Linked DNA regions of Xenopus tropicalis. The protein of the gene in region 1 binds, or shares a complex with, the protein of each later gene. Links are inferred from orthologs where the notes say so. Each region holds a gene or a part of one and is shown on either strand. Other genes may lie near its edges.

Region 1 (4,375 bases):
CATTGTAGACCTTCTGATTGGTTCTCTGCCCTTTAAAATCTCACTTTCACCCTTTGCCCCTTGCACAAGCTGCCTTCTGGTTCTAAGATCCTGCTCAAGCCCGTGGTTGTTGTCATTCGTTTTTTGACTCCTGCCAGGTTCTGACTTCAATTCTTGCTGCATGTCCTGACCTCGGCCAGTTCCAGATAACAGTTTAGCCTCCTCCTTGTCTGTAGCGCATTTGTGTGCAGGTTTCCTATCTGCTACGCTGAAGAAAGTTCTGGGGCCCCAAAAGAGCATTGTTGAACATGGAATACGGTCTAATACTTTTGGTTTATAGCATTGCGTATAACATTTATTTTTGTTTTATTGAAGCCTACACAAATGTACCACACCCTGTTGACCTTAAGTGGCTTTCCATTATATTTTTTCTTATTTTCAGGTTACAGCTTCACTCTTTTATTTTAGGATTATGGACCAGATTGACTCCAAAGCCAGACTTTAAGATTACTAAGAACTGCACTGTGGAAGAACCAAGTGAAGTACATCAATTTGTTTAGAAAAAACTGGGGTCTTTGATTAAAGGAGAAGCAAAGGCTAATTCTGATACCCCTGGCCGGTGCTCCTGTTAGAAGAAAACTGGATCAGCCTGGGGTATATGTGAGTGAACGTTCTGTCCTGTCTTCTTTCTTCTGAATCCCAGGGCATACACAAAAGCAGGAAGAAGGATCGCTAGCTCACATACACCCCGACTGGTGCAGTTTTCTCCTAACAGGAGCATCGATGGGGGGCTTCAGGTAATCAATAACCTTCACTGGGGCGTTCCTAACATTATATATAATACACTGGACCGCAACTCCTGCCTTTTGTAAATTAATGCTCGTTTTGATAATTCGTGAAAAAAATGGGACCCTTTGATGACAGCAGAGCTGGTGGGAGGGCGAGGAGGCACTGGAGGCAGAAATGAGACGCAAGCGACATTAATGGGTAGCATCTTGGTACTAAGATTTTGGCACCACCTGTGATTGTACCTTTCCTTCCCCTTTAAATATTGAGAACAGAGGCTCCACTAGAGGAGAGTAACTAGTAAGAACGCTAGTGAGAGCAGTAAAACAAATTCATTGTATTCAATGCCAACCATCAGGAAATAAAACCCTCTCTTCACTCCATCATAAGACAAGTAGAAGCTTGGAGCAGAAAAAAATAAAGGAAAAATGTGTTTATCTTTTCCCTTGCAGAATTCGGAGCCATAATCCCAAAAAACAAATGTATTCTTTAAGACATCATGGGATCAGAGGCCGTGGCGAAAATATTTATACCTTTTTTTTAATTTACGATTATACATGTTCCAATGCAACCACCCCGTCCACACGCTGTTACCAGTCTATACTACTGTACTGAAACCAAGCGCAATCTTGGCTCCTCCCACAGTGCGTGTAGCGTCACTACGCTCGCTAGTCGTGGCGTAACTGTGACAGTCTCGCGAGACTGTGACGAGACTCTGAGGTGCCCTGAAAGTCTGGAGCTGGACAAATGACATTGCGGGACTTTTAAACAGCGAGTTGGGATTGTGGGCTGTGTAATGAAAATCGGCAATCTCCCGCAGAAAGCGGGGCTGTTGGGCGCTATGCGGTACGTGTGTATTCGCTTCTTTAGACGCCTTCTAGTGGGCTCTAAATTTGGGGAATAAGGCAATCCTCCTGAAGCGTATTTGTCATGTCACTCCTGGACCACTATACCCCCCAAACCCTCCTCCCACCCACCCCCACACACCCCCACACACCCCCACACACCCACCCACACCCCCCCCACACCCCCCCACCCCCCCCCCACACCCCCCCACCCCCCCCCACACACCCCCCCCCCCCCCCCCCCCCCCCCCCCACACACACACACACACACTCTTCTGCTTTTATTGTGACCTGCTTCTTATTAAGTCGTGCATGTATTAGTCTCAACTTGCTTTGCAAATATAAGTGTCCGCTTAATTGCCCATTAAAATGTTGTTTTGTATTCTTCTTAAATAGTACTGGACAGTTTTATCTTGCTAAATGTGCTCTTTTTTTGTTTTTACTAAATTACACATTTCAAAGCTGCAAAGAGTTGTTTCCCTTGCTTTGCGCTGATATAGACGAAAACATGTTTTATTATAAATAAATAAATAATCCCAGCCCTAGACGGCTACTACTCTGTGAGAAATAAAGGAAAGCTGGCTTGTTTATCAGTTTTCATTAGATATAACAATATATACATAAATGAGTGGGGCAGCATTTGCCATGTTTTCAACATGAGAAATTAGCAGTTCTTGTGCTCAAATTATTTTTTTTATTGTTTATAAAGCAACTAAGAATTCTAGTTTTTTTACCCTCATTACCATCTCCATTTTCCTGTGATCAACTGAGTTGGTATATATAAAGACAAAGAGCTTGTATAAACAAGTCTCCCCTTCCACTTTGTGTATGTGTGTGTGCGAACGCTCTATCTTGTACTGGTAGTTTCATTAAAGGGGTAGTTCACATTTAAATTAACTTTTAGTATAATGTGGAGAGTGCTGTTCTGAGACAGTTTGCAATTGGTCTTCATTTTTTAGTATTGCATCTTTTTCAGCAGCTATCTGTTTGCTAGGGACCAATTTAACCTAGCAACCAGATAGTGGTTTGAAAGAAAGATGTGAATATGAATAGAGGATGATCTACATAGAAAGATTAGTAATAAAAAGGAACAATCAGAATAAAATTTCAAATGTGCCAGGGACCCCCATTTGAAAGCTGGATAGAGTTATGAGAAGAAGGCAAATAATTAAAAGCTATAAATAAAAAACAGCGAAAAGTTGCCTGGTATTGGCCATTCTACAATACACTAAAAGTTAACCTGAAGGTGAACCACCCATTTAACTAACTTCTTCTGCCACAATTGATAAAAGCAGGAAGATGGGAAATGAAAGTACCTGTTAGTCAGTCAGCAACTAGAAGGCGACATGGGACATAACTTTTCATTTAGTTTGTGACTATGCAGGTTGGGGTCAAAAGCAAACTAACTGAAGAGTTATGTTCCATATGGCCCCCCTTCATGATGCTGACAGGTCAGAGTGATGCAAAGGAGGATGTTATGTTCTGGCTATTACAGTAGACATCCGTTCACTCCAGCTTTTATACATTTTTTTGCTAACTATATTAAAACATTTATTTTTCTCAGACTATCTTTTACCCAGTTTTATATTTACTCCGAATTCTTCCTTTTACAGACAAAGAAAGAGTTAATCACTAGGGGATACCTCTTTTGATTATAATTGCTAATTTCAGATTGCAAATCCTTTGCAGAAAAATGAACTGGCCTAGGGTACTATTCTACAAAGTGCTGCTAGCCCTTGTCCCAGGGATACTTTGCAGCTTTATAGGCTGGGTCACATGAACAGTAGAGTAAAATCAGAACTTAGAAAATAAAATATGAACATTTACCCTAATGTGCATTCATAGGGGGGAATTTATGAAGTGCAAAAAAACCTGAAAACTTGAATATAAAAAATTTCCTTATTTATTCGATTTAGAAAAACAAACTCAAATTCACAAACTTGAAAAAATAATAAATAAGCCCTATACTGTCCATAGAGCTGACCTGGACAAGACAAAATGGAGGCTTAACGCTCAGTAGTATGGTATTCTAGTCTGGTGTAAGGTTAGAAATATGATCAATGGGTGGTGCCTAACAAAGCAAAATATATGTTCACTAAAAGCCCATTTAATTGAACTTATGATAAAGAAGAAACTTTCCAACCACTCAGCACACTGTTTTAGCTTTCAGTTCCGCAGGCATCGAGAACTAGCTGTAATAACGATTGTTGACATCTGAGAGGGAATCCCCTCTGGGGTTGTTGCTGTTATTAGAATCACCATACATCTGCATAAGTCGGCTTGCAGTATACGCAATTACTGTCCGCTATGAGGGGGAATCGGTGGATGAGGATTTCTGATAATTACCAGTAGTTCTAAGACGTAGGTTCTTGTAAGGGGTTTCCTGTGTTTGGAAACTTTCAATTATAACACTCCCAACTCACACCTGTCCTGACTTTTGTTTGCTAGTTTAGAGTTTTTGTATACGCATATTTTAAAAAAAGATTTAATGTGTCTGGCATACTATTTAGAAGGGGTGGCACAATTTATGTTTTAGGGTAATTTGCCACTTTTCCAGTAGTCCAGTATTTTGATTAATGCCCATTTTTGAATGGGGATGGACCCCGATTTTTTATATTGTCACTGTACAAAGTGCCAGGTGAATCTGATGCATATTTGATTTTTTTCACATTGTTTTCTTTTTTGCCACATGTATCCTGAAGATATCGATGAAGGGAAATGACTGAAGTAGCAAGCCCTTCATTTTAGAAAAGTTCTCAGCTTGC
Region 2 (2,416 bases), on another chromosome or scaffold:
TCATTCAACTTTAGATTAAATATTAAGTATGATATAGACAGTAAAATTCTGAGGCAATATGCAATTGGTATTCATAATTTATTGTTGTGGGTTTTTTTGTGTTTTGAATATCAGCAGTCTTGTTGCTAGGGTCCAGATGAATAGGAGAGGGCCTGAATGGATAAATACGTAACAATAAAATAGAGCAGTAGTATTTTTTGCCTGCTAGTGGCAGTGATCCCAATCGGAAAGCTGGGAAGAAGCAGAAGAGGAAGGCAAGTAATTCAAAAGCAAAACAAACAATGCGTAGTATATTAAACTGAATAGAGAACTATGTTTAAAATATAAGGTTTTGAAAACTGGTTATACATTAGGTTGAATTATTTAATAGCTGTGGTCATTTATGCAATTCTGTCATACAATATTGACTGACACGTCAATGTATATATTCCTTTTCTCCTTACACACAGACATACACATTCATCCACTTAGTACATTTTTTATAAATCAGATTAATACACTAATATAATGTTTTATGGTTTTGTTAGGCTGTCTAAATGTCTATCTGACTGGCTAAATATTTTATAATTTATATGTATTTTTCTATAATATTATTTCCACACATTAAATATACTTAAAATATCACCTTGGTGAGTGGTATCTGTTAACCATAGAACTTACCTAAATTTGTTAAATATACAGTAATTTTTACAAACTTTCTTAATTCTTTGGTAAAAGTTGATTGCTTGATGTCTGATTGTAGGAACTATGAAAAATATTTTGTGAAGGCTCAGAAAGTTCGGCGCCTGATAGCAGATGATTTTGTTAAGGTGTTTAACTCCGGAGTCCATGTTTTGCTAACTCCGACCACACTAGGAGATGCAGCTCCCTATTTAGAGTTTATCCAGGAAGACAATAGAACTCGCAGTGCTCAAGAAGATGTCTTCACACAGTGTGCCAACATGGCTGGTAAGAGCATTACATGTCTAAGGGCCTAAAACGAAATGAAAATGAAATGACCTATGATTTAAATTCTCGGTAACATTAACGGACTAGTAACACCAAACTGTTATAAAGAAAGGCCCTTTTTGTCCATTCCATTCAGTGTAGCGTAATTAATACATATTTATAACTTTCCCCAAAAGCCCTGCCAATTAAACCTACTATTTTCAAAAGGATACGTTATTTTGTTTTAAAATGATAACAAATTTTTGAAAAACCAGTGACCATTAGGTGTAATGTGCATTCACAAATCTTTGCTTTGAAAAGAAACAGGAATAATGGGAAAGTGGATAAAGATTGTATTGCTTAGGCTTTCAGATTGTAACAGATTGAAATGGTAAATTCGGACTTTGCAGTCATAACTGCAGCAGGAAGAACCAGCTATGTTTGCCCATAGCTAACCAAAATGATAACATAAAACTGCCATCATAGGTATCTCTTTATAGAATCCACATCCACATTTATTATAGTATAGCCTTTAATATTACCCTTTCACTGAGTATATTATCATTACTATAGATGTAGTTTTGGTGCCTCAGCTACTAAAGTATGCATTTAAAACATTTTTTATATTATACATTTTTTTATGTTTTTTTTTTCTGCAGGCCTCCCAGCCGTAACTGTCCCTGCGGCCCTTTCTAGTAGGGGATTGCCACTTGGCCTTCAGTTCATTGGCCGTGCTTTCTGCGAGCAGCAGCTCCTCACAATCGCTAAATGGTTTGAAAAACAAATTGACTTCTCTCCCTTACAGTTTAACAGAGACTCGGAAAATGGGAACATAGTTCAGCAATACAGTAAATCTGCTTCCTCTGTATAGGAAAATAAAGAAACTCTTTAATCAAAGATGATCTAATTCAGAAAAACTTTGCATGGTTACATTTCAGCTGTGGCATGACACAAGGTACAATGATGAAGGTATATTATGTGAAAATAGCAAACAATGCTGTAATCAGTATTCTAGGTAGAATGAAGGGTGCTGCTTGCTGGGCTAAAACACTGGGACAACACATTTCAGTTAAATGCAGTTTGAGTAGTTGCTTTGTTTTAGCAGCAGTTAACTGAATACTGCATTCATATATAGCACTTGCTATGTAGCAAGCATTGTGGATTACACTTGGCCTATAGTGTTTTTGAAATACAAATTTTCTGCTTTTATAAGCACAAGTATAAAAGCATAGTCTGAAAGAAAAGTACAGTATATGGGGCCTATTCACTAAACCTCGATTAAGTATTTCTGAGCTAAAATCGTATTTTTTCTACCTTATCAAACATTTCGTAAAGTCCACAATAATTTAGTTAAAATTCCACTACTTTTTTGTGGTTTTCATTAACTTCCACAAAAAAGTTGTACTTTTCGTAATGACTAAGACGATTTCGGAATTCATTCAAGCATTGGTATCGTGACTCTTTTAGCCAGGTTGAATCTGTTAAGTGC
Region 3 (3,425 bases), about 96 Mb from region 1:
CTAATATAGTTGGTAAATTGGACCAGTGAGGTAACCCATAGAAACCAGTTCATTTTAATTAGTCAATTTACTTCAAAATACAAATAAAAGAGATTAACTAATTGCTACGTGTAACTGCACTGGTGTCACTAAACTAGCCCCACTGTATTCACTACTGTGTGCTAGTAATGTTTATTGAAGAAAAGCAACAGTCTCTGATGTAGTTCTCATATAGATATCATAGGATTAAGTAGGGATCTGAATATTTTCTGATAAATGCCAGTCTATATAGTGTTATATACGAGTATCAAAAAACTTGGTCCAGCAAATCTATACAAGTAATTCCACTATGGTAGGTTTACAAACATACTCCATGGACTCCTTAAGTATATGAAGAATACTCATACTCTTATTGCTCTCAGCACAAATATACATGTTAATCTATGACCTACAAAGGCCAACCATATGATATAGAATAAAATTGCAATGAGGCTGAAAACAGCAACAGGAATAGCAAAAATGAGTTAAAAATACAGTGAAAGAGTAGAATCCGAGGTTGATTTGTTTTGCTAAGGGGGGGCACATAAGGGATATCTTCTGGTTGGACACCCCACTGTACACTGTTTTGCTGCAGTCTGTATTTCTAGTTCAGCGCTGCACCTCGAGATTTAGCAATAAAACCCCTTTACACACCAAGCTTCCCCCTGGCCGGAAATGTGAAGATCAATTTTTACTAATTAATCCCCTGAAGACACCATGTGCTTAACCTTAACCCCCTAAACACACAAATATATATGTATGAAGACAGCAAATACTCGCCGTACAAACTGATTGTTACTTTGTTATTTATTATAAAAGTATTTTTCATTTCTAGGCGTGCAGGGGATATGACGTTATGGGCCCACTCTCTTCCGGGGCCCGCGTTGGGTCAGGAGGAGCCGTCGGATTCTGTTTTTGATTTACTAGGCCCCATAAAGTCCACTCCGTCCACCGGGATGTCCTTGTCCTTAATGGCTTTCTGAATAAAGGAAAGGGTATTAGTGCGCTGCTATAAAATGCCCATGTTATTATCACTATACAGAGTGCATTACCCACCTGAACACAATCTCTATACCGCCTGAAGAGCTCGGTGCACGGATCGCCACTACATTCTCCCTTTAAAAATTTCTCCGCAAACCAGCGGTTGAAGCACTGGTCATACTCCCGCTTCATATCCGTGCATTCCTCACCCACGCTGTTCATGCTGCCCGCAACAAACTCCTGACGAACACAGGTATTTCTTCACCTCGCAAATCTTTCTACGGAGAGCGAGATGCCGCGGCAGCCATCTTGTCCTAGGGCAGAGTCGCGACTGTCATCTTACAACACAAGCACGTCTATTGGCTGAAACCTTTTTTTTTTTTTATAAATGGCCGCCATCACCTCTTCATCAAGGTTACTGGAGAAACGCACGGTGGTGGTTCTAATATGACGTCATATTAAAGAGCCGCGCAAAATGTGGTTCCGAGCGCCGCTCTGCACCGCTTGGATTTCTGGTTTCCGACGTTCGTTGTCGGCGCAGAGTAAGGTATCATTTAGCTTATAATGACACTGCGCGTCAAGGTTTAGTCTAACGAATATCCTTGTACGACGCTGAAGTCGGGATTCTTATGTAGATATACCAGCTCACGGGCTTCCAGCTATTGCTGGACTACAAACTAGTAGAAACCGCTGTTGGGGATTAAGATGTCGCTATTTTCAATTTATAGGTACCGCCTAAACCAACATGGGACCTTCAACCCGAGATCAGAAACCAGGTGCGCACTCATATGCATGATTATAATTTAGTGCATAACTTAATTATGTATTACGGTTTCTCTATGCGCCCCCTACTGTTCATGTGTGCTCTATTCCCAGGTCATGTTAATCAAGAAAAGTATATAAATGTAAAACTACCTCTAAAGACAGACTATATATCACGTACATAATACATTTTACCAATTTTCAGAAACCCCTGATTAGCCTAGACACAATTGACCATCTTGAGCGGCTAGCATTAGTGGATTTCGGAAACGTAGAAGGCGTGCAGCGGCTTGAGAAGGCCATACAGTTTGCTGATCAGCTGCACAATGTCAACACAGAGGGAGTGGAACCTTTATCATCTGTGTTAGAAGACAGGTAATGTAATCTATATCTTCAACCATATCTCCCAATGATAAGTCTAAAACAACTGGACTTGCAAAGTAATCTTGAACATTTCACTACCTAGTAGTAAACTGTTTTAAGATTATTCAGCAAGTCCAGTTACTTGACACTTATCACTAAGAGATACTGCATAAATTAATATGTTATCATTTAGCTACCATGATAGAGCAGCAGCACAGGCTTGATACTACTGCTAGATTTATATATACTTTTTTGTGAAGAGGCAGTTTCAAGTGTTTGTAATGTGTTTTGCAGGACCCTATACATAAGAAATGATGCAGTTGCTGCAGGAAATTGTACCGAACTGCTCCTAGAAAATGCCAGAACTGTTGTAGAGGAATATTTTGTAGCACCTCCAGGTATTAAAGGTTTATATTTATATCCACAAACATTAATATAGATCCATTAGATGTCCTCATTCTCTTTTCTCCTCTTAATAAAAGGTAACATCCCTTTACCAGCTCAGCATGAAAGAGGTCTGTCTGAAGTCAAGAGCAGCTCCTGAACATCAAGGACCGGAATAGAAACAGCATAACAGCTTACTGTTTATTAGGACAGCTACAGATGCTTATTTTTATTTAAACTGAAACACTTTCATAATAAAAGGAACATACGTACAAACTTGATTGTGAAGAGGATTAAAAAGTTATTCCAAACTATACCTTTCTAACATACTGATGGCATTTAACTATATGTAGGACACATGTACTTTCCCTTAAGGTTGCATTGGTTCCATTAGCATTCTACTTGTTAGTTCCAGTATAGCAATTATGCACAGCGCATTTAACACAATTTCAGATCAGGCCATCCCTTCTTCCTAGGAGGCACAATACTATCTTTTGCCTTCTTGAAGATAGAACTTAAAAGAAAAAAACACCACACACCTTATGTCAAGAAAACATTTCTTTAAAAAAAAAAAAAAAAATGGTATAAAAGTTGATGAAATCCATCAGTCGTGGAATGTTGTTCTGAGTAGATGGGATTCAGAATTCAATTCATAGAAAGTGTCCCTATGGTGGCAACTTAGTACGGTCGAAAGGGAGAAGCATAACGAGGCGAGCGGCGGCTTTGATAAGGGGAATCACGCCCTCTTGAACGGGATCTGGAACGGGAGTAGCTGGTATTTCTCTCTGGGCACACACGGATATAAGAAGTTTCACCCTTTGGGGGAGAAAAAAAAAAAAGTTGGAAAAGAAAGTAACAGCCCAGAATGTACCCTATGTAAATATAAAAATAATGCTACCTCGTGGGAGCGGAATTTT

Evidence for each region.
Region 2: gatb (region 1) and qrsl1 share a complex: the UniProt entries of both Homo sapiens proteins name them as parts of the heterotrimeric GatCAB amidotransferase (AdT) complex. The link is inferred for Xenopus tropicalis from reciprocal best matches to the Homo sapiens genes GATB and QRSL1.
Region 3: gatb (region 1) and gatc share a complex: the UniProt entries of both Homo sapiens proteins name them as parts of the heterotrimeric GatCAB amidotransferase (AdT) complex. The link is inferred for Xenopus tropicalis from reciprocal best matches to the Homo sapiens genes GATB and GATC.

Annotation. Positions count from the first base shown.
Region 1 is NC_030677.2:55,986,677-55,991,051, forward strand, and holds the start of gatb (glutamyl-tRNA(Gln) amidotransferase subunit B, mitochondrial), read left to right. Parts: upstream 1-1,416; 5' UTR 1,417-1,561; coding exon 1,562-1,611; intron 1,612-4,375. UniProt on the Homo sapiens protein: Allows the formation of correctly charged Gln-tRNA(Gln) through the transamidation of misacylated Glu-tRNA(Gln) in the mitochondria. The reaction takes place in the presence of glutamine and ATP through an activated gamma-phospho-Glu-tRNA(Gln).
Region 2 is NC_030681.2:79,110,707-79,113,122, reverse strand, and holds the end of qrsl1 (glutamyl-tRNA(Gln) amidotransferase subunit A, mitochondrial), read left to right. Parts: intron 1-742; coding exon 743-948; intron 949-1,586; coding exon 1,587-1,798; 3' UTR 1,799-1,824; downstream 1,825-2,416. UniProt on the Homo sapiens protein: Allows the formation of correctly charged Gln-tRNA(Gln) through the transamidation of misacylated Glu-tRNA(Gln) in the mitochondria. The reaction takes place in the presence of glutamine and ATP through an activated gamma-phospho-Glu-tRNA(Gln).
Region 3 is NC_030677.2:151,737,927-151,741,351, forward strand, and holds gatc (glutamyl-tRNA(Gln) amidotransferase subunit C, mitochondrial), read left to right. Parts: upstream 1-1,443; 5' UTR 1,444-1,474; coding exon 1,475-1,546; intron 1,547-1,727; coding exon 1,728-1,775; intron 1,776-1,966; coding exon 1,967-2,136; intron 2,137-2,418; coding exon 2,419-2,522; intron 2,523-2,606; coding exon 2,607-2,668; 3' UTR 2,669-2,789; downstream 2,790-3,425. Other genes in the region: triap1 (TP53-regulated inhibitor of apoptosis 1), read right to left, coding at 908-997, 1,075-1,221; srsf9 (serine/arginine-rich splicing factor 9), read right to left, coding at 3,187-3,324, 3,407-3,425. UniProt on the Homo sapiens protein: Allows the formation of correctly charged Gln-tRNA(Gln) through the transamidation of misacylated Glu-tRNA(Gln) in the mitochondria. The reaction takes place in the presence of glutamine and ATP through an activated gamma-phospho-Glu-tRNA(Gln).